4 linked regions of the Coturnix japonica genome follow. The protein of the gene in region 2 purifies or fractionates together with the protein of the main gene of each other region. This does not show direct contact. Links are inferred from orthologs where the notes say so. Each region holds a gene or a part of one and is shown on either strand. Other genes may lie near its edges. The genes, in order: SAP30, ARID4B, SUDS3 and SAP130.

The links.
Region 1: the proteins of ARID4B (region 2) and SAP30 purify together in Homo sapiens (affinity purification with mass spectrometry; 5 studies listed by BioGRID and IntAct, with this or other methods). This does not show direct contact. The link is inferred for Coturnix japonica from reciprocal best matches to the Homo sapiens genes ARID4B and SAP30.
Region 3: the proteins of ARID4B (region 2) and SUDS3 purify together in Homo sapiens (affinity purification with western blotting; 3 studies listed by BioGRID, with this or other methods). This does not show direct contact. The link is inferred for Coturnix japonica from reciprocal best matches to the Homo sapiens genes ARID4B and SUDS3.
Region 4: the proteins of ARID4B (region 2) and SAP130 fractionate together in Homo sapiens (co-fractionation; 4 studies listed by BioGRID, with this or other methods). This does not show direct contact. The link is inferred for Coturnix japonica from reciprocal best matches to the Homo sapiens genes ARID4B and SAP130.

The regions. Positions count from the first base shown.
Region 1 is NC_029519.1:38,527,492-38,535,527, reverse strand, and holds the start of SAP30 (histone deacetylase complex subunit SAP30), read right to left. Parts: upstream 4,761-8,036; 5' UTR 4,435-4,760; coding exon 4,138-4,434; intron 3,439-4,137; coding exon 3,316-3,438; intron 1,043-3,315; coding exon 944-1,042; intron 1-943. UniProt on the Homo sapiens protein: Involved in the functional recruitment of the Sin3-histone deacetylase complex (HDAC) to a specific subset of N-CoR corepressor complexes. Capable of transcription repression by N-CoR.
Region 2 is NC_029518.1:34,296,801-34,304,372, reverse strand, and holds part of ARID4B (AT-rich interactive domain-containing protein 4B), read right to left. Parts: intron 5,087-7,572; coding exon 5,014-5,086; intron 4,498-5,013; coding exon 4,403-4,497; intron 3,431-4,402; coding exon 3,333-3,430; intron 3,119-3,332; coding exon 2,851-3,118; intron 1,943-2,850; coding exon 1,770-1,942; intron 1-1,769. UniProt on the Homo sapiens protein: Acts as a transcriptional repressor. May function in the assembly and/or enzymatic activity of the Sin3A corepressor complex or in mediating interactions between the complex and other regulatory complexes.
Region 3 is NC_029530.1:8,709,880-8,717,451, reverse strand, and holds part of SUDS3 (sin3 histone deacetylase corepressor complex component SDS3), read left to right. Parts: intron 1-1,381; coding exon 1,382-1,451; intron 1,452-2,822; coding exon 2,823-2,878; intron 2,879-2,975; coding exon 2,976-3,047; intron 3,048-4,773; coding exon 4,774-4,793; intron 4,794-5,339; coding exon 5,340-5,496; intron 5,497-7,572.
Region 4 is NC_029524.1:1,631,828-1,639,399, reverse strand, and holds part of SAP130 (histone deacetylase complex subunit SAP130), read right to left. Parts: intron 7,272-7,572; coding exon 7,113-7,271; intron 6,484-7,112; coding exon 6,372-6,483; intron 5,306-6,371; coding exon 5,181-5,305; intron 4,416-5,180; coding exon 4,291-4,415; intron 3,739-4,290; coding exon 3,588-3,738; intron 3,390-3,587; coding exon 3,299-3,389; intron 3,032-3,298; coding exon 2,927-3,031; intron 2,231-2,926; coding exon 2,089-2,230; intron 1,849-2,088; coding exon 1,727-1,848; intron 1-1,726. UniProt on the Homo sapiens protein: Acts as a transcriptional repressor. May function in the assembly and/or enzymatic activity of the mSin3A corepressor complex or in mediating interactions between the complex and other regulatory complexes.

The sequences.
Region 1 (8,036 bases), on a different chromosome or scaffold from region 2:
AGCTCTCACGCATTTAATAACCTTGGCTTTAATCTGTGCTAATTAGTAGAGAGACAAACAAAATGTCTGCACTGAAGTACAACTGAACGTTACAGCACAGAAATGAGGTGGCAGCTATCCCTCCCTGCTGAAATGATCACCGGTGCTGTCACAGATACATGTCTTTGCAATGCAAAAGAATCACTTTACAATTGCTCTCTTGTACAGAAGAGATGCATACAGCTGTACTCACAAACAGCTTAAGTGCTTTTAGAAATATCGATAACAACAAAAAGAATTTAATAAACTTCTTTCTGTAATAACAGACCCCCTGTTTTTAACTGAGATTAATGATCAATAGAAGTCTATTTTCCGTGTTTCTGAACTTCCTATACGTGAAAAGATGCCTATATTAATCAGCTTTGTAAAGCCAAGCCTGAATCTTAAAAGAACTTCACAGTCTTACAGTCTCGTGCGGGTTGGAAGGGACCTTAGAAATCATCGAGTCCAACCCCCGGGATTCGAGCCTCCTGTGTAGCAGAGCAGCACTTCTACCACTTACGCCACAGGGGGGATTCGAACCCAGGCCTCTGGTGTTGCAAGCGGCACTTCTACCACTGCTACCTCTCAATTTCAAATTATCATCAGTAGGATACTTAAGTTGGAAGGTGTGGCTGATGCACAGGTCACCTTACTGTTCAGCTCACTATTTTCAAGCAACACATGCTCCTTCTGAAAGTTATGGGTCCGTTCTCTAGAAAGAAGCTCTTCCTTCTGATTTCCTTGGCTCAGGAGCTATGGCAGTGAAGGAAGCCAGATAAGCAGCTCCTTTCTGCTCTCATAAAACCCAGATTATATATGCACTTCATGCAAGGATCACATTGTGCAGAGAAAAAAAAAACCCAACACAACGCATGCCATGGCAAATTGCATTTTCTATTATGGAGTAAACACTCATACGTACTTCAACAAGCTGTGCTTTGTTAAGTCCCGGTCTGGTCTGTAGCTTGAAGTGTCTTTTGTACCTTCGAAGTGTGTTCACTTGTAACTGATATAAATCAACCTAAAAGAAAAGGAGAAAGGGGGAAGAAAGCAACCTAATGTAATTGATAAGGTCTCCCTCGTCATCCTGGAAACTTGCACATACACAACCACACACTGTCAGCTCAGTAGAGCTCGTTTTGACAGAGAACAAAACTTTACTCCACACCTTCCAGGAGAAAGAAAAACATTCCATTGCAGTTTCAGAGCAGTTTATTGTTACTAAGTACGGCTCTTCCTCCTGTTAGCAGCAGACAATATTTAGAACTTACAGTACTATAATCGTCTCTGTTTTTTTCTTTCATTGTTGTCCTTCCCCCCCCCCCCCATTTTCAGCATGATGACACAAAGCACAGTAACAAAACTCATAACATCATAACATCTATGAAGATGCTGATTCAAAAGGTAGGCTCTGCATTTCAATTTCAGCCATGAAGTCTTTTGCAGTCTACAGCAGCATAGCTGCACCATGAGACAGCATGAGTTAGAACCAAGACAAAGTCTAGAACATGAAGGTTTTTGGCTTGAGGTGGGAGAGGAAAAAAAAAAGAGCTGGTCTTGGTGTCCAAGAATATCCCTGCTACAATAAGCACAACAGAGGAGTTATGTACATAGGCATAGTTGCCCAAAACTATTTTTCAGTGTGAGCTGACAGTTCACAGCATTGCACAAGCTCCTCTCCGGGATATAAATACACTGCCTCAACCCAGTACTCTCTCAGTTTTTAATCCCATGAACTCAGATCAACAGCCGCTTCTCCCAGCAACAGCTTACCCTCTCACCTTCTTGACAGCGTAAAACAAAGTTTAATCAGAAGACTGAGGAGGAAAGGAAGCTAAGAAAGCAGGTTGAACAAGAAATTCCATTAGGTCAGTTGCAATTACGGCACTGTTCTCCAAACTTCCTGCATTAAAGACTGGTTAAAGCATTAACTTCTATTTTAAAGTCATCCAGCAGCCTCAGCTATGCAATATTTAAGGCAACAACAGTGCCAGTGCACTCCTGGTGACCCGGTCAGACTTGATACAACCCTGCCTTACGTGTTAAGAGGATGGCATGCCCTCGTACTCAAGACAGCAGCACTGTGGAAGTCACTGCAAATCACTCCTAACATCTACTTCTGGAAATGGGAATGCCCTACAGGTGGTCAGCAGTAAACTGGATGGCAGTTCAAAAATCAAGGGGCCAGTGGGCATCTATAGCACACCAACACCACACAGGAACTGCATGCTGAAACTCTCCAGAACTACCTACTTCCCTGCACCACTACCACTGAAAATACATTTCCTTTCTTCTGTTCTAGGGATATCCATCAGTTGTGTCATGCTTTATTATTCCTGTCTGAGCAAATAAACAGGCAAAAGCTGCAGTTGCCACTGTGCCAGACAGCTACCAAAAGCCACAAAGAACAGCAGGTTTAGAGAGCTTTCAGAGATGCCATCCAATGTTTTTAGCTGACAAAAACCACAGCCCAGCATCAAACTACTTCCAATCTCCTAAAATCCTCTTATAGTCAAAGCCTTCAGGCTTGAGCCGTGTGCCTCCAGGCAGAGATTCCTGCATGAAGTTTCATCACTGACATTGCTGACGCTGACCTTAAGGATAAGTTCACAATCCTCAAGCACCTTCTGACAAACACTGGATAAATCTCTTGGTTGAGGCCGGGTAGGCTGTGCTCAACGATTAACACACAAACTGTAACAGAAATAATCCAGCACACATGTAGGAAGAAGAAAGCTTTAAGTGCATTCACATTATACTATGAAAAAAGTTTGAAAGTAGTTCACTTCCAAAACGGGTGGTGTTTCACTGGCCTACAATAAGGAAGGCAAGCAGAAATGCCTTCTTATTTCAGCTCCTCCTCAGCAAAACTGCCTCAGCATCTCTATCCCCAAGAAGGACTAAAACCAGTGAGCTCCCTCACTGAGAAACTTCCAGCTACACTAAGTGGTAACTACAGGCACCATCTGCAACGTGCTTCACATGGAAGGAAAGGATTGGAGGGATGTGACAGAGAAGCAGTTATAGCCCAAGTCCGGTGTGTCCTGTCAACCTTTACAAAGACTGATTTTCATAGCAAAACAACTTCTAGCAGGCTCCTGGAGCCAAAACTGTAAGGAAAGTTCAAAACAGCAGCTGCCTGAGATTCTGCACATCTAATAGAGAAAATACACCCTGGAATCCAGTTTGCTTTTGTCATATTAAAAGCCAAGCACATCAGGAGCCATCCCCAAAAGCAGGCACGGCTGAAGCAGGAACAGACTTAACGTAACTATTAGAAAAACCGTTGGCTACCTCTGGAGTGTCGATGTCTTGCACTGGTGAGTCACCATCGTCATCACTGCCTTTTCTCTTCCTTCTATTTCTCACACTCTGAATTAAGTTTTTGTGGAAGTCGCAGATATAAAGGTGTCTCGCCTACAAGAGTAAGACCGCATCTTTCAATCAAACCCGTGCAAGCTCCTCCCAGCCTGGCAGCACAGAGGCATCTACAGAGACATTCCTTAGGCAGCCTCGCTCACGCGGAGCGAGGTGGGGAAGCCCCTCTGCCTGATAGCGCTGCACGGAGGCATTGTTATGTTACCTCCACCGACTCGGCGGGAGGACGGGGGGAAGCGGCTACCGGTTGACTGGCAGAGAACGTCGCGCAGCGGGGACAAGCGCGCACACAACCCTCCCTCCAACCGCTCGCAGCAACTCGGGGATCGGCAAACAAACACGCACGAACGGAAGGCGGGCAGCCTCCGGAACATCCCGCGGGAGGCAAAATGCCACCTCCTCCCCATCCGCACGGCTTTACCTCCGCAAGGTCAAGCGACACGCGGGCCGCTCCCCTCATTCCCCAGCTCTCCTGCACAGGGCCGCACCGTGCGGCCGCGCCGAGCCCTCCCCACACGGAGCCCCGCGCCCACGGCCGCCGGGTGGGGCACCGACAGCGCCGGGCTCCAGGCGGGACGGGGCGGCGGCAGCGCTGCGGGAAAGGAGGGACTGGGAAACGGCGCTTCCCCGCCGCCGGCAAAGACAAAAAAAAAAAACAACCCGCAAACAAAAGAAAACACGCCAAAAAAGAACTTTAAAAGCCGCCCCCGAGCCGCTGCCCGCTGCCGTAAGACTTACGCTCTTGTCCAGCTCGATCTTCACCTTCTTCTGCGAGATGCTCTTCTGGATCCTCTTGCTGAAGCTGGCGTTGCCGGCGGCGCGGCCGCAGCGCTCTCCCTCCTCCCGCAGGCAGCACAGCTGCCCGGCCCCGGGGCCGCCCGCCCCGGCCGCGCCCGCGGCTCCCACGGCCAGCCCCGGGGGCGCCGACCCCGCCGGCACCTCCGCTCCGGAGCCCGCACCGCTCACCGCGCCCGCGGCGGCGACGGCGGGGTCGGCCCCGCGTTGGGGCAGCTCCTCGGGGGCGAAACCGTTCATGCCCCGCGTCGGGCCGGCGGGAAGCCCCGCGAGCGCCGCCACCGCTTCCCCCCGGCGAGGGGACTCGGGCCCGGAGGGTTCTACGGCCGCGCTCAGCCCGGACCGCGAGGGAACACGCGCGGCGCGACGGGCGCCCTCGCTCCGAGCCCCGCGGCTACCGGCGCGCTGGCGGCGCCCCACGGGCCGCCCCGCTTCCTCCTTCCCCCTCTGTCATGTGGAGACTCTTCAGCTGTTTCCTATGCAACAACAGCAACCTGCCCGCCGCCCCGCCCCTCAGCACTGCGCCTGCTCAAGGCCGAGCCGCGTTGCGCTCCGGGAAACGCAGTTCGTCCCGCCGCTCTGCGCTGCGGGCGGCGAGGCCGGGAAACTACGGCTCCCGAGCTGCGCGGCGGACGGGGCGCTCCGCTCCGCACACACCGCAGCTTGTTGCAGCTCGGTGCCGCGGCTCCGCCCGCCCCCCGCCGGCATGTGGCGGTGTCGGCCCGGGCCGGCTGGTAGGACGCCGCCTTCGCTCCTCCCCGTCGGCGCGGCCGTTGGGATTTGAAATGCGGCCGTGCCGCTACCGGGGGCGGGAAGTGGATTCTGAGGCTCCGCGTTGTGTCCGGATCAAACGCTGCCTGTATTGAGATATTTCGAGCTCTAAGAAAGCTACACGAGAGCCGCGTTAACGCACAGCCTGTAATAGCTCAGCCGCTGTGGGGCCGCCTCTGACCTATTTTCGTCCGAGTGCGTTCAGAGCGCAAAAAGGCGGCTTTGCGCTCCTTTTTGAGCCCTTAAATTCGCTAACGGGCCCGAGCGCCGTGAGGTAACCGCGGAAATATGCGGCCGTATCCATTACTGTGCGAGTGTGGAATCAGGAGAGTAACCGGGAGGTCAGCGAGCGATTTGAGGAGACGCAGATCCCGTGTAAGCCCAACAACTGCCTGAGCCAGGGAGTGCGATTATGCTGCAGTTTGGGTTTGTGCTGCAGATGGCTTTTTAATCCGGTTGCGTAACCTGGCATTAGAGAACGAGGGTAGGTCCCGCTTACGCTCCCAGCAGTTGCGACTGAAGGATCCAGCGAGTGGAGTTAGGCTGAGCGTACAGTGACAGACAGCAGTTATGCATGAGGGCACGTTTTGTGATTAAAGGGAGAAATTGGGTTAAGAGCTGGAAAAAATACCGAACCCTCCTTTGTTACAGCCCAGCTGGGTTCAGTTCCACACCCTGCCACTGTGTCAGCTCAGAAAAGGGACGTTTAACTCGCTGCTCAAGTTCCTTGTGATTCGACCCTTTCAAAGATTATAATGATGTTAATAATAACAAACAAAGCCACACAACAGTAGGAGACCTTACCTAAAGAAGATATAGGAAGAAGTGTGAGTTCCAGGAAGTTTCCAGCAGAAATCAGGGTCACAAGTAGCAATTTCTACCAGCTTACACTGTGTCTTTTGTGATCCGTTTCATTTCATCAGATGGTTTTGACCTTATGCTGAGCATAAAATACACAGTCTGTTATGTTTGCTGTGGTCTGTTAAAATGTAGAGACTACTATGTCTCAGATATGTTCCTGATCCTCTTTATACAGTTCGTGAGCAGATAAAAGCCTGATTTCAGCCGTGCTCGCCAATATGTTAATTCCTAAGCTGAATTTCAATAGAGCAGTATCATAGTTTCATGGTTAGATCATGATAAGGCTGCAGCAGGGCTGAGAAACACAGTTCTGCTTCTTCTGTAAGCTGCTGACTTTCACACCTGTGCCCTGTCTTTCTTTGTGCCTGTAAAAGCATTTCTAAAGCTCTGTGGCAAACTGGATCTGGTTACAACTAGACCAGGGAAAAGAAAATCAGTTATGTTAAACCCACATCTGCTTTACTGCTCAGTTATATGATCATGTCCTAGCAGAGAGGGAGCTCTGATGGAGGGCAGGACTGTGTGAATGATTCAGGAACAGGGAAGGAACATCTCCTTTGGTAGGAATGCCTAAAAGCTACTTTGTCTTGAAAAGAATGCCCAGATTCACACCTTATGGGCCCTGAACTTCCTGGCACCAAGGAGGACCAGGTACAGGTGGAAGCTGAGCAGCTTACGTGCTTTGAGATGCTGTATGTCCCACTCCCACTCCTGTTCACTTTTGACTGGTTTGTATTTGAGAGGGAAGAATGATAACTGGACACATCACCTTGAATAGATTGCGAGCACACTGTAAATGTGTTGCAAGTAACAGAATCACAGAATGACCCGGGTTGGAAGGGACCTCAAGGATCATGTAGTTCCAACCCCCCTGCCTGGCAGGGCCACCAAACATACACCTTTACTAGATCAGGTTGCCCAGGGCCCCGTCCAACCTGGCCTTAAATACCTCCAAGAACGGTGAATCCACTGCTTCCATGGACAGCCTCTTCCAGTGCTTAAGCACTCTCCTAGTGAAGAACTTCCCCCTAACATCCAACCTAAATCTTCCCTCTTTTAACTTAAAACCATTTCCCTGTGTCCTGCTATTGTCAGCCCTTTTGAAGAGTTTACTCCCCTCATGGGTGTAGGTTCCCTTCAGGTACTGAAAGGCTGCAATGAGGTCACCCCGCAGCCTTGTCTTCTCCAGGCTGAACAAGCCCAACTCCCTCAGCGTGTCTTCACAGGGGAGGTGCTCCAGTCCCCTGATCATCTTCCTGTCCCTCCTCTGGACCCTTTCCAAAATCTCCATGTCTTTCTTGTCCTGACACAGTACTCCACACCTGGACACAGTACTCCAGATGGGGCCTCACAAGAGCTGAGTAAAGGAAATATGGTTCATGACTGCATACACACCTTGGCATGATAAGGTTCACTTGGGGCTTACTACTCCCTTCCCCATTAGGTATCATTCATCTGAAGTCTAAGAGAATTTTAGTGCGCTTGCTTATGTTCAGCACCTCAAATTATCCTGTTAGCAAATACAGCACTAAGGAAAATGACTGGTGCAATTTTTAACAGTAAATGAGCATTTTATTTGTTTCAGACTGTAACTGTTCCAATTAAAAACAGATTTCCTTAATTTGCTGTAGATATTGTACAACGTCCCGTGATGTTTTTCATGGAAGAGCAACCAAATCAACAGGAAATCACTGTCTGTGTGTCAGAAATGGAAACATTTGATACGTTGTACTGTAAGTACTTTAGAGGCTGAGATCTATTTCTAACCATAAACACAGAGAACAGAGAACAAATCTCTTCCTCCTCAGCAGAAACAAAGTTCAGTCCTTTTATCATGCCCTTCTTTCTCAAATGTTTGATCCTCTCCCACTCCATTACCCACTAACTGCTGCCTCCCATTTATTGTCCAGCTGTTTAAGCATTGAGCTGAAAACACAGGAACATTAAGATTTACCTGCAAACGACTTTTTTTCCCCTTCTTTAAACTTCTTCTCTTGAATAGCTAAAATGCAACTTTGTTTCAATACTTAATCGGGTAACAAAATCTCCATTAGCACACACAGAGTTTACTGTAGAAGTAAATAAAATGATAAGAGAGAAAATCCTACCTTTAACCAAAAGAATTAAATTAGTGTAAAACTGGTGTTTTCATTCAGGTCTTTTAGTCATCCCATTGAAGCCAATATTCCTTTAGTTTTTTTAAAGCACTC
Region 2 (7,572 bases):
ACCATAAGATGAATTGGGGAAAATTAAGGGGAAATATCATCTTGGTTTTATGAAGGAAAAATTAAGAGAACACTGTGTTTTTATTGTTATAAATAACCCAAATGGACATGAATCAGAAATGATAACAAAACAAGACCAAATGCAGCACATAGCTGCACTTTCTTTCTATAGCATTGTGATAAGTTTTAAACCGGCCTTATTTCCAAATATAAGCAAGTACTAAATACCACCACAATAACACACACAGTACTTAGAGATCTTTTTAAATACTGCTTTTCTCTCAGCAGTGCAGATTTCCTTACATTCAGTTACATACTTTGAAAGTATCATAAAATTAGCCTTCAATATTTATGAAAATTCAGAAAACCTGGTACAATATCATTTCTCTGGTTGCTCTTACAAAACAGGATGTAAAGTTCCAGCAACCAGTCTTTTAAAATGATAGTCACCTAGAACATAAGTCAAGTCACATACACAGGGAAAAGGCTCTTCTACTGAGTTCAGGCAAATTTGATTTTTCTTGTTATTCTGGATTTCTGAGTTATACAAGCTTTCAGTGGAATTTCCTTGAGAATAGGGAAGATGACATTTTACTGGGGGGGATTCTCTCAGAAATCAAAATGCTTAAAAGAAAACTGAAAAATCTTTTCAAATGAACTTGGAAATCAACACAATGAGCTATAGCATTCTGTTATATCTTTTAATGGGACAGAACAAGCAATAACAGTTGCTGATATTAAGATGGAAGAGAGTTTATCTGCTAAATATAGCAAAGGAACAGTAGAATGAACAAGGAAACTAGTGGTCAGGCAACAGCTGCTATTAACTACATAAAACATCCCCTGAGACTCAGACTGTCTAGAAAGAGTAAGGTGCCGTTAGCTGCTTTCCCTATTAAAAAGAAAAGTTTCTCCTTTAAGCATCTGCACCGTTTTCAGTCACATACAGTATCCTCAGATAATACAGAACTTTGACACATAACCTGTAACAGCTACCTATATCTTCTTACTTAAAATCATAATGTACAAGGCTTCTAATCCTAAGAATATGAACTGCTACCACCCTGCGGTTCAGTGAGAACAATATGCTGGTTTAGACTTCATTGTTGTTTTTATGGTTGTTTTTTTGCTTTTGTTTTTCAAGATCTGGCTGTCTTTTTTTTTTACTTTTTCACTGAAATGTGAGAAGTTGTCAAGTCTATAACTAAAGTCAACTTCATCCATGGAAGCATTAAGGATGCACAGATCCAAGTAATTCATCTCCTACTTTGAAAATTTCAGTCCTAAGGGCTGCACAAGGGTCTCCTGCAAGTGTTATCTCCGCTCAGTGGTTACTAAATTTAAAAAGTAACCACTTTAAATAAACATAAAGTTGTTACTAAATTATGTGAGGTATTTCTCTCTTCCCATGTTACTGTCCAACAACAAAATCTAGCAACCAAGTTAAATAGACAATACTATTCTACTCATAATATTTGCAATATTTTTGTCTTAAGTGAGATTTATACATTCTGCTGCTTGCTAAGCTTGCAAATATTTTGGCCTGGATCTTTTAAAAGCCTTACATAAAGCTTTATAAAAATGGTTACATATTTTTAATTAGACTCACTAACTTCAGCAGCACTAACCATGAGAAAGAGCAGCACACAGATCTCCAGAAAACAGGAGCCTAATCACAGCAGGGAGGTAATTTGAACTTCAAATCAGACAAGAGTAAAGTTAATGAGCACACATCAGATGCCTTATCTGATTACAAACAGAGTAACTTACCCTGATTTGTCTTTTTCGTCAGCCTCTGCATTTATGGTAGGATTTTCCATTTCTTTAATCTTTTCCTCTTCTTTATCTTCTAATTTGATTTCATCTTCAGTTTTGATTACATTCAAGTCCTTTTCTTGGTCAGGCTGCGTATACACTGAATCTGGTAAATTTTTTTTGTTCCCCTAAGACAATAAAACCTTCAGTTAATTTACAAGAAAAAATAAGAATTCAGAGGATTTCAGAAGAACAAAATGCACAAGTTATTGTGAAGGGAAAAAGAAAGCACTAGATTCTAGGGCTCTTTCTAAAACTACAGCATTTCCACTGGTTTTATGTTTGAAATTCTCAGCACACATACAGTAGTCCTTGGTTGAATCCAATCTCCTAGGTTTTACTACAGCAACATTAGCACACAACTCTTAAAACAGTTCACAGGATATGTCTGCGCTCAGTATGCAGAAACACCAGCATTAACGGTCACTGTGGAGTTAGTAGCAGCAGACAGGCCAGGGCTGGTGCCACTTGCATACATCACAGCTAAGTTGCATATTGACTTGAAGAACTACACCACTTCCAGAGCAAACTGCTGTACCTTCACTGCTCAGCTTACCACCTCAGTTCTCCTTTTCTAAAACCACTGGGCCAGTATTGAGTTTTGAAAAGGTAAAAAGATTTGTCTCTCTGGATTAGTGAAATAATTATGCCACTGCATACACCATATCTCTCTAGAACCTGGGAGGGCTTAAAAGCCTAGCTCAATACAAAATAGAAGTATCAGCAGTGAAGATAGTTGTAAGCATGCATTATCCAGATCACAATACAGCTGCATGCTAATCAGTCCCCATTTGACTCAAGAGTGCCCCAAACAGGTGGAAAGCTTCATCTGCTTCCTGCCAATTCAAAGACTTTGACACCATGAACCTCTAAGACAGACACTGAAGAGACAAATATTGCTCAAAACTAATCTACAGCATGTTATTTGTCTAGTTTTAAATCAATTACAGAGATTTGTCTTAATACAAACTCATAGTTATCAACACATTATCTGCCTTTATCAACAGGATATAACATGAACATTAAAATATTTTACCAGAAGCACGGGCTTATCATTTTCTTTACTTTCATTATCATTCTCAGCTAGCTTTTTTTCTTCTTGTTGTACTGCCACTACTTCCTCCTGCTTGCGCTCCTCCTTATCCGCTTTTATTTCTTTTACATCCTGCTCTGGATCTTCACGCATCTTTAAATCTTTTTCTTTTTCACAGTCTTTACAAGGCTTGCTTGTCACTTTCTCTGGTAATGCCATTTGAAATTCAATATTTGCTGATGTACAGTACTCTTCAAAGCCATAGAGATATCTAAAAAAAAAACCACACTTCTGATAAACAAGTTTTTTTTGAAGAAAAATTGTGTTACCTAGCAGAAGCTTAATAGAAGAAATATATTTTAAAGCTTACAAAGACTGCATTACAACCAAACTTATAGAATTTATGTATATTGCCACCACTATCACAAGAACTCTATTTCTTTTTAGTGCTGTTTTAGCATAAACTGTGTGGCTTTATTACTTACTTTTTGTATGCACATTTAACATTGTATCCTGCAGCTGAATTCAATACAGGGATTCCAAGATCTTGATAAACTTGTTTCCACACTGCTCCACTTTCAATCTGTTAAAGCAAATGTAACAATGGCTGCTGAATTAACTGACATACAGAAGACCAAGCTGACAACATCTACAATTTCATACAATAGTATTTAATTCTCTCTACAAAATCTCTATTTATTGTACACTCTACTTTGTAATGCAAACTGTAGTCTAGTGTAACTACTTGTTGCAATTTAGCATTTCTGCACTTCAGTAAGCCACAGCTGGCCTTTCTCTCTAGGTGGTAATAAAGGGGGAAAAAATACAAAGATCAGCACAGTTAAAATAATTCCTGAAATATCACATCTAGAATTTTAATTAAATTGAAAAGAAAAAACCTCAAAGTATTAATAATACTACATCCCTGCAGCACTGCACCAGATAATCTAAGACTGGTAGCTACTGTATATCTTTAACGCACCCTTTGGTGTCAAAGCTTTGTGACAGTGTGACATGCTCATTTCTCACCATCTGTGAAGGTAAAAGAGATCTACTGTGATACTAAGTACAAGATCCTCCCTTCTATAGTAGAAAGGCGGCACAGCACAAACCAACCTTCTCAGCTGACAGGCTAGATTTACGAGAAGTAGCTCAAAGCAGTAACAGAATCTACTTGACTAAGAATTCCCTATGCATCAACTACTGCACCAAGATGAATTCCTGTCAGCATGTTCCTCTATATATTGCCCAGAATAGGTAGGAGTTAAGTGCCTCACAACCAACTTGAACTTACAGTTACTTGCCTTTGGGATTTCACTGAGCAGCAACACTTTTCACTTCAGGGTAACGATTTTATTAGACAGACGTTTCTTGAAATCTCACAGAAACACACTGATTTTATGCTGCAGTAATAACACACTCAGTAGACAATTTATTTAAAATATAACTAGTTTCTGGTAGAATTCAGTTTTAATATCTGGAGCTGCTACACAATACTTTATTCTTTATTAAGGAAAAACACCACCCTTAGACTTTATAGATCAGTAATACTCACATTATCAAATCCTCCAAGCTTATGTACAAGTCTGAATAATTTGAACAGATTCAAATTTCTATATCCTAGTACAGGTCGTTTGTTAATAGGAGTCCCTGTAAAGACAGACAGTTATTACTGTGTTTTGAAATATCTTTTTGAGAGCAACATGAAATCTACTCCACATATGCTACTACACCATTAAATAGTACGGTAAATTTTCTGACCATCTGGTGCATCTACTATTTATTTTTTGTGAAAACTAAAACTCATGAGGTTTAATAAGCCATTTTGCCTGTAGTTCATTAATACAAATAAATTCATACATTTGCATTATTCGATATATTAACAAGTATGCACAAACGATGCAACTTCTCTTGCTTCTTATATAAACATTTCTATTTCACCCACTGAAAAAAAACTGCCTCTAAAAGAACCAGCCTATTCCTGCTGAGGGGCAGAGTTAACAGACAGACTCATCTTCTGAGAGGATGGGAAGCCAGACATGTGGGATACAGTCTCACTGTTTCCAAAAATAAACCGTACAGTATTACTAGTTCACAGACTCAGGTCTTTGAAGCACTGCTAAGCAATACCTCTAAATCTAACAAGTCAAACACGGAAATGTGTACCTCTGTCTTCCATGAACTTGTATAATTGCTGAAGAAAGTTCTCCCTTTCTTCAGGAAAAGGCTCTAGTTCCTCCTGTTCAAGGAAAAAAAAAAAAAAAAAAGCACACAAACATTTTACCCTTGTGAGTTACAGGTTGTCAATAAGAAAATCACTTAGGTTCAAAAGTTTAAGTTTGTTTTTACTGCAGTCAGGAACAAGAAACTATACAAACAAAATTGGCCTCAATGCTATGTCACGTGGAGTTTTATATAGCACACATTTTCAACTTACGTAAGGCAATAACTGTAATGACACATCCGAAATTGGATTTTTGATGAATCTCTGTCACAGATATCATAAATGCCATCAATCAAGACACATTCTTAATTTTGTTCCTTCACACAAAGTCTGGGAGATACCAGTGTTAATGCTCAAGGGATATCAGATCTCTATTTCTTCTGCAGTTAAGCAATTTCTTAATGCTTGGATGTACTGTGCAACTTTCAGGAATGAAGTAGAACATAAAATCACGCTTGCACTTTCTCAGAAGTTCTAATCCACAGCACTGACAAACCACAGCCAATGACACCGCATGCTACTGCCATGAGGTACCAGCTGAATGCGTGCGTAGTGAGCAGGACCAATCCCAGAACTGAAATAACAATGGATATTTTGGATATTCAGTTCATTGCACTAATAAATCTTTGTATTAGATTTACTTAAATGAATAAACAGTGGGGTTTCCAAACAAAGCACTGGGGTTTAATTTCATCAGAAAATGTCACTTGCCACAACCATTTGTATTAAAATATTAAGCTTATAATGAAAATTCTCAGAAACGGATGACTAAGCTACTTCACACCAGTACGCTGAACAGAAGTTAATTTTCTACATTCCTTTTTCACTACTACCTAAAAGCTTCTAAATTTAACTAATAAATTCTAACATTTTAGTGTGTGTGCATCTCCATTCCATGTTAATTTTTTCATCCTTCAACAGCCTCCTTTTGCTAAACATTAAAGCTTCACAAAACACATCGCTTTTAAAGTCAGACCGAAGGCAGTTCAGAATTCAATAAAATAAAATTATTAAATATGACAGGAAAAGAAACAAAAATTGTGGAAACTAGTGGATGGCTGAAAATAAGGTTAAGCAAGGCTGCAGTAGAGTTTTTTTGTTGTATACTTCCTCTTCTCCATTAAACTCACTTGGAGAATGTAATAAAGGAAATCAGCAAAACAAAAAAAAAAAATAATTAGGAACTATTTGCACTGTGCTGAAATTGTTGTCATTTAAACATATTTAATAACAGAAGCACAATGAAAAAAACTCCAGTCAGAGCTACTGCAAAGGCAATGCAAAATGAAAGTCTCTTTGAGAGACATGACAAGATAAGCATCTACCCGCTAGCTCATACACCAGCAAAACTCAGTGCAGGCTATTTTGATGAGCGAGGAGGACAGGCTACATCCTCACAACGGAGGGGAAGAAGGAGTTGGGGATACACTGTGATCCTTCACCGGTATGAGGAGCGATGTTGCAGCCCTGCAGTAGTACAGACAGACACACATAGATAACCATCAAACTTGAATACGACCACAAATGCCCTAATTAGAATGTTGGAATGTATTAAAATTTTTGGTTGCTGTTCTTTGGTTTTGCTTTTTGGGGAGAGAGGTGCACAGTACTGAGGCAGAGATACGGATTTTTTTCTTTCATTTTCTTTTTTCCTTTTCTTTCTTGTCATGTCACCCATGACAGATACTTGTACAGGACTCTTACAGGTATTCACTGGAACACGGTGAAGAGATCAAGGGCACCTCTTTGTGGTTTTTGCTTCATTCCTCACAACTTTCCTATGGCAAACTACCTGCCATAAGAAAGTGGTCCCACAGAGTTATTTAGGGAATGGAAGATGAGGGAGAAAGCTATTAATCCAACAAAGCTTTCAAGTTGCAAAATGTCTGTTAGGGGAACTAAAATAAAGGTGATGAGTAGGTTGAACGTAACACTGCTGCTCTTTCCTCCCCGCAAGACGCAATGTTTGAGAAGTACTTATATCTCAAATATATTAATGCAGAGAGGTGTCAAAATGCCAGGTGGATATTCCTTGTTAATATTCCCAGTACAGTCTCCTAAGAAAGTGTGCTAATGGGGGAGCTTAAGACCTCGTGTGCTTCTGGAAAGACTTCTTTCTCAGAATCTTTACAGAAATCGATACATGCTACATATGGTAACAGTTAACTGTTAACAATCTCTAAAACATTTATGAAATTGTTTAAATAATCACTGAGTACACAACAAGGTTTCCTACATAATGGTTTAAGGCAGACATATCATATTCTGTCATCTCTGCTTATTTCCAAGTTACTTAACCACAGCACCAAGCAGGTTGTTCTGAGGTTTTTAATTTGTCTACATCACAAAGGTAAAAGAAATTGGCTTACATGTTTGACAACAAAATCTAGAAAAAAAAGCAACATGCGTTAAAGTGGCAGATAAAATTCACACAATATTATAATCCAGAAGAAAAGAGAATCCTTGTCAATCCTTTTGGTTACCATCACATTCAGAAGAGG
Region 3 (7,572 bases), on a different chromosome or scaffold from region 2:
GAGAGCGCTGAGGAGGTGGGATTTTGGGTGTCTGGGGGTTGTAATTAGGGCAGGAGGGAAAGAAGTGCTGGTGAAGGCTGGTGTTTCTGTGGTGCGAAGGGGTAGGAGGAGGATGGAAGGGCAGATCTGTAAGAATTAGGGACCAAGAAGGTGGTAGAAGGCAGTGGGCTTTGTAGCGGGACCATGAAAACAAAGGAAAAGAGGGAGCTGAAGTAAAATCCAGAGTATCCTGGTGTACAGGATGCGTAAAATGACATGTAAGGGAGATCAGGAACAGCACAGGGACAGTATATGGTGTCAGAGTGGACAGGAGTCAGCCCCACTCTGCTGTCATGACATGTCAGTGTGCCTCTGAACAAGGAGCTGGAGCCGCACCTGCAGGTCCCCATGAGAGGTGGCAGCATATGTGATGCCAGTTGCATCAAATAAAGTAGGTATTTACAAATAAAGTAGGTATGGGATAGCTTTTTGGTGTCCTACATGCCAAAGTGTTTCTTTTTTAGTCAAAAGTTAAGTTATATCTCTGTGTTGAATTTTATCTTAGTGTAAAAAACCAGTTTAAGGTGTTTATTCACAGCCTTTTGCAGATCTTTTGTTAAGATTGATACTTTTGTCCGTATGTGGGAGGTGTAGCTGTAGTTCAGGCTGTGCAGCTGTACTTTGTCTGCCATAACTCCAGCCTGGAGAAGCTGAACCCTTAGAGAGGAAAGGAAATTCACCCTTGGCTACACAAGCAAGGAGAGCTGCATAGGAGTAGCTAAAAGCTAGCAGTGCAATACTGCTTTATTTTATAGCTTTTATTATCTGTGTGTAAGATTGGGTCTATCTGTATATTAGTACTTGTCTTTGCTTTATGAGAACGATAAAGTATTTCAGTGTGTAGCTGAGAGGTCAGCTTCAGATTATAGCAAGAAATTTGTTATATTAAGTGCAACCTCTGTGGTAAACCATGACAGCATCTACCATAGTGCTCTCTATTTGCTGTGTTTCAGGTCAAGATACAAAGGCATTCTTAATCAGAGCTCCTTCAGTCATTGTTTCCTGGGTGAAGCTCTAAAGCTCTAAGCAGCAGCTTGGGAAATGTCAGGGTCTTAAGATTGTATTACCACCTCACTTTAGAGTTATGAGACTAATGGGAAGAGATTAGTGGAGTGTCTTGGGTCAGTGCTGCTTAAACGTGGTAGAAGCTATGTTGTAAATCTGCTGGTGGCCTTACATGGGATAATTGGTGTCAAGGAAGAGATGTTTCGAGTTGGTTCTGAACTCATTTCTCCAGTTGCCAGTCTGGCTGCGTATTTGCCCAAGTGTGGGGTTTTTTAGTGCTTTCCTATGTTCTTTTAATCCTGCTTAGTTTTAACAAGTCATTCTTTACCTCATTTAGATACCGAGGATGCTAGCGAGACTGATCTGGCAAAGCACGAGGAGGAAGACTTTGTAGAAATGAAAGAACAGTAAGTAGCCCATTCTAATGAAAAGTGAGGTAGTGTTTTTGCTGCCCTTTTAGGGGGGCTGGGGGAGGATGTCTTGTTTTTGTATAAAGCTCTGCAGTGCTTTGGACCAAGATTTGGGTTAAAAGAAATGTAGCTCAATGTAATAGCACGCATAATCATATTTCTTCTCAGTTCACGAAGCAAAGCAATGTTCTGAACAAAGAAACACACAGCAGCTCAGTTTTGCTGCGGATGAATCCCTCTGCAGGCAGATCCTTTAAAGAAAAGAAAGAATCTGCTTGATACAAGCCAAGCAAAAAGCAAGATGTCTGTGAAAATTACTTAAGCAGCTGAATGCCAGTCTTGTCCAGGGAGAGTTAACTTTTTGGAGACTTGAGGTAGCTTATTTTTACCTTAAGATGTATTTGCAGCTTTTCATGTTCGTTTACTGGCAACAGTGTGGTTTTTCACACAGGTCAGGAAGAGTTGGTGTATGTTAAACCACAGATACGTGAGAAAGGAAATGCAAGTCTAAGACAGCAATAGGAATAGACTTTGGTTTTAGTTTTGGGTTTGCCTTTTTCTTATGGTGTGTGTGCTGGGGAGTTTTATATGTGTACGTAAAATGTAGACACACATATATTTCGTGTATATGTGTATATGCAGAATGTTAAGGGCTATGTGAGGAAATGCCTTCTGTTTTATCAGTAGGAAAGTGAGACAAATATTGAGACATGATAAAGTGGCAGGATGACACTATTGCACTGACACTATTGCAAGGTTTTTGGTGTCTGTAGGTCTAAGTATCACTGTAGTTTTCCGTGTTTAAGGTAAATGACGTAAGTCATGTTTTTGCTGAACTCTTAAGGAAATGATTGACAGGAATGCATCGTAAAACTGATGAGCTGGCAGTTTCTTTTAGACAGGAGGATGTCTCATTTGTAGGATGTATGGTGACAATAATGAAAAGATGGTAGTAAATACCTAAAAGGTTATTTACAGGAAAAACTCACCTACATGGAAGCCTTTGGTCTGCTGGGAACTGCTGAGGTAATCTCCACCAAGGAGCGATCTCCAAGAGATGCTGCCTTAGTGGTGGTCAGCCCTTAAATGAGGTCTAGAGGAGGTGGAGTCAAGCTCCAACCCTTCCAGGAGTACAGCTAAATTACTCTCACCTGTGCTCCCACAGCTGACCCAACACTTGCCTCAGCTGGTTAATCAGAGGTTCAGGCTGTGATTACCAATTTCACATAGTAAAAGGGTATTTATCCTGTTTGTTTCCTGAAGTTCTTCTGAAAAGTTTCTAATTCAGTGTAAGCACGCTGTAACCGAAGCAGGTGGTGATACAAATAATTTGCTTGTTTCTCAATGTAAAGGTCTCTGTCTTTGCAGGATGTATCAGGACAAACTGGCATCTCTTAAAAGACAGTTGCAGCAGCTGCAGGAAGGTAAGTTTTGAAGGAGTGTTTGTGTTTTACGGCACTCTGAGGAAACTGAATATGAAGGAAAATATAATTGCCATTGAAACTGACTATTTGTTTTTAGGTACTCTTCAGGAATATCAGAAAAGAATGAAAAAGTTGGACCAGCAGTACAAAGAAAGGATACGAAATGCTGGTAAGCTGTGTTTCTTTCAAAGGTGCTGCGTATGCCTTTGCGTTACAGTTTTTGTTACACCTGAAGAAACATGAAGGTAACTCAGCACTGAAGTGTTGGAGCAAAGGGATTCTGTGCTCTGAGGGTGGGGTGTGGTTGTTATTGAGTTTATGAAACGTAATGGAATCTACCTTGAAAACACCCACCCCTCCATCAGTGTTGTTTGCAGTGTTTACTAAACAATGTTTAGCTATTGCAAAATGGCACAAATGAAAGTGTTTCATTTATATCTGCCGTTATGCCTACAGTCTTCCACATTGGCTTGTTCTTTTGTGCATCTTGTCTGACCCCTTAGGACTGCCTGCTTTCTCGGAAATCTCTTATGTGCTTGAGAACGATGAATATAGAGGATTTGCTCCTGCAAATGTGTCTGCTTACAGCCGTGACACTGAATGGGCTGCCCACATCTTTTGGCTGTGTTTCCAAAGTGAGGGCCCAAGTTCATTTTAAAGTGCCTTTCTGAGAGCCTTTATTGTGTTAACGCAGAGATACAGCTTGGAAATCAGATCTGTCTGCTTGCTTTCCTTCCTGTTCTCTTTCCAGTAGTTTTGAATCTTAGATACTGAAGCAACAACCTCTTATAGAAAAGTCAGATACATCCCATTATACTGTGAAATAAGTCAGAGCAGTTGTATGATGTCAAATACACAGCAGCCTTTCAGTAATGCGAGCTGTCTTCTGAAAGACTTTGTGATAGTAAAAGATTTGCTTGATGAGTTTATGTAAGTTGAGCTGCTTTGAGCTGCTTCTTGCAAGCAGAAATTCATCTTCTGAGATGAAATTACTGTACATTAGAGTGGCAGTCTAGTGATAATGGGATGTTGCTGTAAAATTAACTGTTAAGTTGTATCCCTGGCTGGCCAGGAGAGTGTTGCAGCAGCACCTTTCTTCCAGAGGAGGGCAGATTGTGCTTAGTTATGAATTAGGATAAAAACCTGACTGCCTACTGTTACAGGAATGGGCTTTTGCATTGATTCCTCCCATGTTGAGTGCAGTTTTTTGTTCTGCTTTCCTGTTGTGTTTTTTATTTATTTTTTTTGAGAATCCAAGTATTAATGCAGCAGCTTAGATTTGTCTGCATGTGATTATGTCTGTAATGGAAATACACATAGAATCATAGAATGGCTTAGGTTAGAAGGGACCTTAAGGATTATCAAGCTCAAACCCCCCTGCCACAGGTGGGACCACCAACTTCCATGTTTAATATTAGACCAGGCAACCTTCCTTGCTGAGGATATAGAGGCCTTTTCAAACAAAAGGTTTAATTTCAATCTTGGCTATCTATCTTACCTTTTACAGCGATTTAGAAAGTGATAACAGGCAAGAAAGCTGCTAATTTCTCAGGCATAAGCAGCCTGAAATCAGGCACTTGGTGTTAAATAGATGAATCAAACTGCTGCAATATTATTTCTGAAGGAATCATTGCTGGGATTCATAGTATTGGTCTACCCTGTCCATTTTGGCCAACCATGTGTTTCCAGCTATGTGTTTCAAGCTTCTATCTGGGAAATTTGTATCTAGAATTGATATATGACTGGAAGAAGGGTGGATTATATACTTGATATTGATGGAAGCAGTAGTTGAGCTGAAAAGACTGGTTTACTCCTGTGTAAGGTTTGCAAATGTGATTGAATAGCTGTAGAAAACGTGAATTAAGTTACTAAGTTGGGTCTGTCTTGTCTTTCAGAACTGTTCCTCCAGCTGGAAGTGAGTACTCTTAATTTATCACAATACATATTAAGTAAGTGGGAGGGGTTAAACCTGCAGCTTCATCAACCAGCTCTTTTTCTCACTTTTTGTTTCCCCCTTTGGTATCATTACAGTTAAGTACAGAATACTGTTGTGTTGCCTACAGTAACTTCCAGGCTGTCATTAAAAAGAAAATTAAGTATACACGTTTTCTTGACTTGCTGTATGCTACTTGTGTGTTTGGTTGTTTAAAAAGCTTGTTTGAGCTTAGATGGGGTGGTACATGATAAATGTGAAGAGCTTTCTGTTAGAGACTTGATAGGGTATGCACCGTTAAAGTGTGTTTGAAAGGAATTAATTCTTTTGCTGATAACAGTTCTGCTTCCTTAGTCATCTCAGGTGGTTTTGTGTTGTATTATTTAGATGCTGATAATCTGCAGAAGTGGCCATAGCTTTGAACAGAAGAGCTAATGAAAGCAGAGCAGTTGAGAGGAGGTGTTGCCAAGTCATTGACTTGAGATATTGGTTCTTTAGCTAACTCTTTTATCTTTTGATTTGCATTAGACAGATCAGGTGGAAAAGAATTATGTCAAGGAAAAGAAGGCAGCAGCAAAGGAGTTTGAAGATAAGAAAATTGAGCTTAAGGAAAATTTGATTGCAGAGTTGGAAGAGAAGAAGAAGATGATTGAGAATGAAAAGTTAACCATGGAATTAACAGGAGGTAAAAAAGAGATCTGTCATTTTTTCTTCCCCGTTTCACCCCTGCTTAGAAAAAAAGAGTTTAAAAAAGCCATGCTGGTTTATACAAACTGCTTGACCTTAAAACATCCCAAACATCAACTGATGTGGATCACAAATTGGTGGTCTTTTAGTTCATAGAATGTAGTTCATGATAAAATTCAGCTACCTGCATTATTAACATGTAAATCAAAGCAGTGTTGACAAAGGAACAGAGTGCAGAAGCTTTCTTGTTCATTTTTTCTCCTCTCTAAAAAGCAGATACTGAGTTCCTGTGATTTCTAGACTTGATAAAATGGTGCTGGCTCGTTCCTGAAAGTTAATCTCATGTGTTTGGATTTGTAGCTTCTTTTTAAAATGGATTTTTGAGATACTGTTGTAGAACAATATTTCTTAAGTTAGATTGAACAAAATTCATTAGTTGACTCACTGCATGTACCATGGCTTTCCCTGTGGTTAGAATCCCCTTGGAGACATTCAAGATCAAGCTGGGCTCTGAGCACCTGATTGAGCTGTAGATGTCCCTATTCATTGCAGGGGAGTTGGACTAGGTGATCTTTAAAGGTCCCTTCCAACTCAAAAGGTTCTACCATTCTATGATAATTTCCCTGAATTGGGATGGCAGTTGGAACCAATGCATTTTAATCATTTTTGTTACAGAATTCTGGAGAATGCCTACCGTATGTTGGTATTTTTTCACTAGGCTGATATATTTTCATGGTGTCCTACTCTATATACAGGCAAAAAGGGCTTCTTTAAGTTCCTGCAGAAGTAAAACTATTGAGAAGTGCCACAATATTGACCTGACCAGTGGTACCAGTTTTTAAATAGTGCAGATGGTTAAGAAGCTAAAGGAAGGTAAACAACAAGGGTTAAAATGTTCTACTTAAAGCTGGTAGCACAGATTGATTTCAGTTAGCTGCATTTGTGTCCAGACTCTGGAAAATGAGCATTAAATGGACGTGTTTCTCTTATGAAGCCCTTGGGTGCCTTGTCAGCAGAGGAGTGATAGGGCTGATAGGACTCCTTCACAGGTTGTGTTGCTCTGGTTCAGAACCAAAGGTCTGATCTGATTTCTTTACAAGAAGCAACTCCCACGTGTTACGAACAGCTGATGTGTTGCTGAGGTCTGTCCATGAATTAGACCTTTACATCTTTCTTAGCATCTGCAAGCGTTATGTAAGCTAATAATTTAATTGGTGCTCAGAAATGAGAAATAGAACCTGTTCGTACAGGCTTAAGTGCTGCTGGTGATGTACAAACCCGTTAGGGCTTGTCTGGTCTGGAAAACATCTTGTGCTGGTTGTTTATTTGCTTTTAGATTGTTTTTATGGGTCTTTCTGATCTTACCAACTCTGTGCCTTTGCCTTAACTTTGTTATTGTTAGTCTGGGCTTCCTCGCTGCTAAGCCAGCATACAGTGCTAATCCTGCAATTAGATCTTCATTGGGGAATCAAGGTCTGAGTAGATCTTGCCTTTGTAAATCTGCACGCCGCTGTTCTAAGGGTCTGAAGGAATCCAGTGTCTCCATCAGCAGGCAGCACAGCTGTTAATGTCAGGGTTGGGATTTGCAGAGTGAAAGGGAGACTGAGGAGGTGTAAAAAGAGCTATTCAGGGGTAATGTGTCTGATTTGGGGACCAAATTAATTCTCCACTGGGAAATATCTCCCCCCACTCTTGTGTGTCCTGAAGAGATGAGCTGTTTCATCAGGCACAGCTCTGGTAAAAGGTGTGTAAGTAACTGTGGAGAAGCATTTCATTCTATGTGTGTGTGCTAGGCCTCTCTTATCTCCCTCCTTCCAGACCAGCAGAAATGCAATTTGATTCCTTTAGAAGTAGCAGAATTCATCATGAATGCATACTGCAGGCTGAGAAAGAAGCACAATGGAACGTGTGTGCACTCAGTGATTTCTAAAACCTACAGAGGAGCTCAATGTGTGCAAGAATGCAGGTTGGCAACCTGATGAGTAGCAGGCTGGTTTGTGAGCATTGGGACTTCCTTGCAGTTTCAGTAGGTTGTAGCCGCTGCCTCCTGGAGCACCACCTTGTGTGGTTCTCA
Region 4 (7,572 bases), on a different chromosome or scaffold from region 2:
ATCTCTCACCACATCAAACAGTTCCACTTCACACAGCTGGACAAACCATTCTGACCCAGAACACAATCTTATCTGACCTAGAATGCAATCTTATCTGACTCACAACAGGCAATTACAGGCTGATTCCTGCAGCTACAATGAACGCAGCATCTTTGCGGCGTTCCCAGTGACGCACCTAAACTGAAAAGTTCAGCTAATTTGAATGTACAGCTCTAAGCAACTATGGTCACATCTTTCCAGACCTGCCCTAAGTCGTGCTGCACTTCTCACAGGGAACATTTAGTGGCCACATTGGACTTCCTGCAGTTCTCCAGAGCTCCAAACATGACACAACAGCAACATAATTTCTGCAGCCGTGCACAGAATGAAGTGCTAACTTGCAGCAATGAGCTTGTCTGCTAACAATTGAGAACGCTCTCAATTGAACGAGCTGGTTTTGTCACAGGATTTCCATCAAGTTCTTGTGCTGACCAGTCCCTCTAAAAACAGCTATCTTAAAAGCTAAGATACAGCACCAGTCCCTGGAAATGGCTCCTATTACCACGTCTGCTCAGGGTACAGAAGGTGAAACACTTGTCGCAGAACTGCCCATCCAACAAAATCATTTTGGAGACTGCGGAAGCACAACTGGCTCTTGGAAAGCCAAAGCTGACCCCCTTCCTCAAAGCACAGAGGTAGCCCTCAGCTCAGTGATCTTTCAAAAGGTTTCCTCTGTACTTTTTGCTAAGTCCTCCATGGCTGTCCTCAGCGTAGGTTTGCATCCCTCCTTGTACCGTGTTCTCTGCTTTGAGGTGTCACCAGTTACTGCCCTAATTAATACCTTTAATTGATGCTTCAAATCAATGTAATAAGCAAAATAGCTCCACTGTCCATATCCCAACTCATCATCCTGAAGCTCATGACTTACAGTCAAGACCTGAAACTTCAATTTCAACAGCAACTTCCAATGTCACTAACAAAGAACAGGCCTCAGTAACACATAATTCCCTATGCATATTTTCCCAGTCAGCAAATGGACTTTGCAACTTCCATGTCCTTCCAAGGCCACTGTACTGGTCAAGAGCAACATGCTACCAGCAGACACTATGAAAACCCGAATTAGGCATTTTCTTAGAGTTTGGAAATCACCATATCTGCCCTAAGCTACTCAGCAAGGTGAAGTGCTCCAAGTTTTTGTCTCAAGAGAATGACCTTAGTTTGGGATGACTGCACTGGCTCACGTTATATGTGATATTTTTTTCCTGTCTCTCCACAAACTACTGCAACAATTCAAACTGGTTATCACCTGATTTTTGTCAACACAACACCAAGAGGTTGCAATGCAACTTGCTTTCTGCTTTCAGCTCATACTTCTCTCTCAGACCATGCAGTCATATGAAAACATATCAAAAACGTGCTTCTCAGAACATGAGGGAATGAAGATGGATAACGAGCTTATTTGCTTTGGAGGAACTCCTTTTTGATCTGTGAAATCTGACACTTTAAAGAGAAATTCTGGATACTGAGTATGAAACTCACACCAAAATGGTCATTAGCTGTGTGTAGGAGGCCTCTAATGTAGCTCAGTGCTCCTTTTGCTCATGCTTTCCCCTCAACCAACAAGAAGTCAGACTCAGTGCCAAGTTACCAGAATGGAGCGTACAATCCTCTCAGCTGCTCCCAAATGCTGCAGGTGGCACACAAACAACTGAGCAAAGCATCAGCAGCTCATCCCACAGCTCCTCACCTGGGTACTGGCGGATGGTGGACACCGAGCTGGTGATGGGGGTGTAGGTGTGAGCAGTCAGCGGGTAGGCAGAGGGCGGGTAGGTCGGTAGGAAGTACTGGAACTGGACAGGCACCGACTGCCTGCAGGCAGCAAGAACAACAAGTGTTACACCACTACACCTGCCTACCTTCACCTCATGTCTTTGGGCCGCTGCCCAAGTTTTGTCATCACATCTGTCATATTTATTAACTCTTGCGATTAATTCAGAACTACCAAATCTCTCTCAGGACTTGTTCCCTGGGGTATCAGAACCCAGACAAGTAGTAAGGTACTCAAAAGCTACTCACACTCTCTTATTCATAGAAATGTTATCTCCTCACCTGTTGTCATTCCTGGTTTCCATTGCTACTGGGTTTGGAGATGCCCGGTGACTAGAGAGGGGTATGAGGTTACTCCTCTCTGCTGTATAATCCGACTGAATCCGGGGAGAAGTATGTGTGATTTGCTGAGGAACCACTTTAGCTGCATAAAGACAAACAAGTCATCAGTCAGAAAAAGCTGGGAGACGCTGCAGAGTCAAAATTAGTTCCCAAAAATCCCCAACAAAAATCAAGACAGAAACAAGCCACACTGAAAAAAAAACCTACACAAGACCAAATACCACACCTACTCTAGCCACAAAGCCCCAGCCCCACTGTAAAGAAACCCCCAACCTCCAATCATTTCCTATCCGCAGTGATGATACATTGCTTCAATAGGAAGCATCACAGAAAGGCCTGGGTTGAAAAGGACCATAACGATAACCTTGTTTCAACCCTCCTTGCTATGTATGCAGGGTCTCTATTGCTCTCTATAACTTCCTGAAGAAAGGTTGCGTGGGAAGGAACTTACAAAAACCAGCTAAGAAAGCCCTATTGCCAAGCAGTTACAACTCCTAGCACATACAGTGCAGGTTCTGAAATGCCAAAAAGCCTCTGTTTGTCTGAAAATTCAATTGAGTAAGTTAATGAGCCATTTTATTACTTATTTCTCTTAGAACATCAATTTCTTTCTGGCACTGAAATAAGCTGTGCCACAGCAGACCTTCTAGTTGATTTCTCCCTGCTTGGATTGATTTGTTTCCCCTCCTTGATGTTCCAATGCACACAAACACTGCTAGCATAAACAGTACAACCAAAGTACCCAGCACACATTGCTCTTGGAACTGAAATCACTCACCAACTGGGATGTTTGAGGTTGTGACAGCTGTAGCATGGGAAGAATGGGAGGGCATTGTCATGGTGACAATGGTGCTTGTAGGCGCTTGGGTGTGAGAAACAGAACCTAAGAAAAAGAACAGACAGGATATTTCTGCAGAGCTCTATCACATAGAAGTAAAACTAACTATATCCAATTAAAGAGTGAAAAAACCCAGCCCAGACAACCCCTGAACTCAGCAGCTTCTCTCCTGGATTCTAATTATGCACTTCCAAATGCAGTCTTTAGCAGAAAGGAAGGTTCCCTCAATTCCAATTAGATTCCAACTTCAGCATAAAGAAACAAGAAAACCTCAATCCACAACCCTCTCACAACAGCGTTATGAACACTCACCAGCTGTGGTTGCTGAAGCAATGGTATTCGTTGCTAAAATAGGTGCCACTGTTGCTGCCGCCACTGGAGTACCAGTACTGAAAATGGTTTTCTATTAGAAGAAGAAAAGCTTCAAGTTAAAATACTACCACGTTTTTGATATCTACTTAGCTCAGAATCGTGCTGCACGGAATGTAAAGAGCATCAATTTCTAATACTGTATTATTTTCCCAAATTTCATCTCATCCACCCAAACGTAAACTCAAACATTGCCCGAAAGCAGCAGGAGGGTTTCCCCTTCGCAGCCTACCTGGGCCATGGTGTGGAGCTGTGGCTTCTGTGCTCCTATGGCCGGGTGGGAGGGCAGCGTGATCCGCGTGGCCGCATCGCGTGGCTGTGCGGGCCGCTGGATGCTGATAGCTGCAGAAGGGGGGTGCTGCTGGATAGACAGGGTGGGCCGGCTGGAGAGAAAAACAATCATGAAGATAACTCTGTAGATACTACATCTTAAAGATAAAGTGATGCATCTAGCTTTGTTCTCTTTCTCTTTGAAAGCAGCACTGCTATCAAAAACATGGTGAAGCAACACAAGGAACTCAAGTGCACTGTCCTGTCCTCATCAGGTGTCTGCCCTAAGTGGCTCTGTAGAAAAGCTTTCCCTGTCAGGGATGCTTTACAACATTCTCGTGTCATTCTTCACTGTGTCCTCAGAAAAAAGATGGGCTGAACTACCCACAGGCTTCTGGAAAGGAAACTCAGCTTTCCAGGAAGCAGTGGTTCACAACTGATTTGTTGTGCCCATTCTTGTAACACAGTGCAACAGTTCATCTTTATAGTAACTTTTATTCACAGAATAAGCTTCCGTAGCATGCAGGCACTCCTATATTTGTGTTGTACCATCCCACATCCAGAGGATCATCAGCTCAACATGTCTAACACGTTTCCTCCTCCCACAGCCTCTGTAAAGTCAGAGCACTGCAGACTATAAAAAAAATTGCCTTAGTCATCTTTACCTGAGGGTTGACTCCGTCGCATGTGCTGCCGTTGTGGTTATAACAGGAGACTGAGCTCTCGTGGCTGAGACAGTTGCCACCACAGCTGGAGGGATAGTGCTTGAAGTCGTCACAGGAGGACGAGACTGTAAGAACAGAGGCAGACATTCAGCAAAGAAATTCCGCGGTTCAGAGAACAAGTAGGAATTATTTGCCTAGAATCCCTTTTTTTGTTAAAAAACCTTATCGTTAAGTGTCAGCATTCTGAGATGTTTTCAATCATTCTGATTTGATCTGCACGCTCCTATGCAAATCCGTTCTGCTTTTTAAAGGACACACAGAGGGCACTACCGACCAGGAAGGTGAACAGAAATTACTGCAGTGCTTTCGACGCATTCTTGGAGGAATAAAACCCAACAAAGACTCCTTCAGAACAGCCTGAAACCCCATATTAAGGCACATATAGGAAGTCAAAAAGATGATTCGACTGGATCTTGAAGTAAAAGCTATTTGACCCTTTATTTTAACCTCGAACGCTAACAGAGAGCAGATACCTGCAGTCTCTCTCTTACATGCATATAGAAGCTGAGATATATGGAAGCATACTAAAATAATTTTTTCTATTTTACATCAATACAGTTAAGAATAAATCCCCATCTGCATGACGTGCTGGGCCTTTCAGGCTGAAGCTCCACTATCACACTATGTCCTGCTCCCAGCTTGTAAGCACAGGACTAATGGGACCATTTCACAGGTTGCTATCAGAAATGGATACCCAACAAACTGAATTAGAAGAGAGCTGCTGACAGCTGCAGGCCAACAAACAAGCATTTACAGGTTATGGACTGCAAGGAGGTGCCAGGAGGAACTTGGAGCAGGTGGTTGTGCAGAGCTGCCCAGCTGCTACCTGCCTGGATCGGCTGATGAATGATGTGCTGAACTGCTGGCTGAGCCGTGGCTGCGTTCGGCAGCTGGGATGCTGGTCTCAGGACTGTAGTTACTTTTGAACTGGACATCACTGCAGCAGCTGCAGCACCTGGGAAGCAAACCAAGCATGTTAAATAGTGCATACAAATGGCTCTGCTTCCTAGCTAAGGAAATCTGTAGAAATAATTCAGGCAGCTTGACTACTGAGCTAATGGGGAAATAAGCTACCTGATAGCAGAAACCTCCCTGCAATGAACAGAAATCGAGGAAAAAGCACCAACAACTTGTAAACCTGCAACAGCAGAGAGCTGTGTTTTCCTTGTATCCACAGTTTGCTGCCTCCTGATCAGGTAAAACTGCTCTGAAAAGCAAATAGCCTTGAAAGCATTTGATGGACTACACTGCATAAACATTCCTGACTGAAATTACTCTGGAAGGTGGTACGCAAGCTGAGAGAAAGAGATCGGGAGGAGAGAAAATACACTAGGTGAACACCCCAGGTTTATGGGGTGCAGGAATCAGGTGACCAAAACCACACTGACTTCAGCTGCAAACAATACTGCAGTCTTTCCAGCTACTCCAATACAAGGTTGGATCTTTGCACACATCATTTTTGTTCCCCTTGAGCAGTGGCATAATATTGGATCTCAATGGAAATAAAAACATAAACGGTGCTTTGAAATTCAGATCAGCTGAAACTTGGAGACCCAACTCATAAATGTTTAGAAAGCAGAGCTAATCAGAAATCACTGCGCTGAGCTTCTTTTAAAGGGCTGCTCTGCTGTTATTTAAGCTGCAGCAGCTGAAGTCCAGGGAGACAGGAGCCTGGACGTAGCAACAGCATTTAACCCAAGGGCAAATGCAAATGATACATTAGCACGTATAACCACATACTGAAATGATCCTCTATCAGGTAGGTCAGCCATCACTGTGCTTAAGTGAGAGATGCTTAGTACCAAGAACATTGCATTCTGCACAACAGGCCAATCTATGCCAGCATGGTTTTGTTTTTCAGGTTTGTTTTTCTTTGAAAGCATTCACTGGTGGCAGCACAAAAGTAGAACAGCTGAGGTTGCAATACAACACAGATCAGCAGTGAAGAGAGATTCAGAGGGTGGGTGCACTGCCCAGGAGGTGAGCGTGACAGGCAGCCACACACACTGCTCAGCCCTTACCTCGAGGAAGGTGGGAAGCTCCGATATGTAGAGGAGGCCCAGGAGCACTGCTTCTGATGATTGACATCTGCACATTAGTAGCCATAATATGGTGCAGGTTGCTAGGATGGCCCTGCAGAATTAAAGACATTAAGAAATAAAGAGCGAGCTCTGTGGATAAGCAGCCATTCTGATGGCATTGCCTCAAGACTTTTAAAGACGGGAAAAAAATAGTAGAAATACATTGTACAAAGGGTTCTACAGGGGAGTAAAGAAACAGGGAGAAGTCAGAGCCAGCTGACACCGTACAGGAAAGATGTCAAAATTTCAGAGCCCTGTTTCCCTGTTTGGCACACAGCGGACTGTCAGCAGCCACTCAGACACCAACCTGGGACATGTCCCTTCTGTTATCAGTGACCTTAAAGGCACACATCTCTACCACACTGCCATTCAGGTCAGAAGAACAGTGGCACTCGGCCACTCAAACTCAAATCCTCCTCAGGACACTACATTGAAGCCCTGAGAGTTCAGAGGGTTTGCGATGAGTGCCCTGGCACGCTGGCTTCAAATTCAATTATTCAAAGAACAGCTTTGGATATGTTTCTCCTATTGCAGTCTGTCATTTGGATGATTACACCAACAGTGTGTAACTGCTAGACAGCAAAGCCTGCTCTCTGCCTCCCCCCTGCTCCAAGAGCTTAACCTGCTGTGCCAGCACTGCACTGCCCCAACCTTACAGTGAGCACAGCAGGAAGCACAGACCTGCTGTCCGCTGATGGTGGCCACAGGGATGGTTGGAGCCTGCGGGATGCTGCTCTCCATGGTGACCGTGACCTGTCCAGGAACCTTGGTAGGAGCTGAGAGGGTGGAGGGTGGTGCAGGAGCAATGGGCCGGCTGGGCATCGTGGGCTTCAGCGGCGGCTGCAAGAAAGAAGCGTCAGGAATGTGGCCAACTCCCATCAGCACCTCAGGGTTGGAGAAACCATTCATAGAGGTTGAGGAGAAAGTCAGTTTTGCCCAAAAGTAAGTAGGGACAGAGGTTTCAAAACTGTGTATAATGGCCATTCCATTTTCACCTAGGACAAAGAGCATGTTTTGTGCTGGAATTCTTCTAACACACAGCATGAGTGACACACAGGACCTGGTGGGGCTGTAGCCTTCCTTTACATACTGCAGATCAGCAGTTTGTTTCATGTTCTCATCCACTCTTACAGAGAGAACG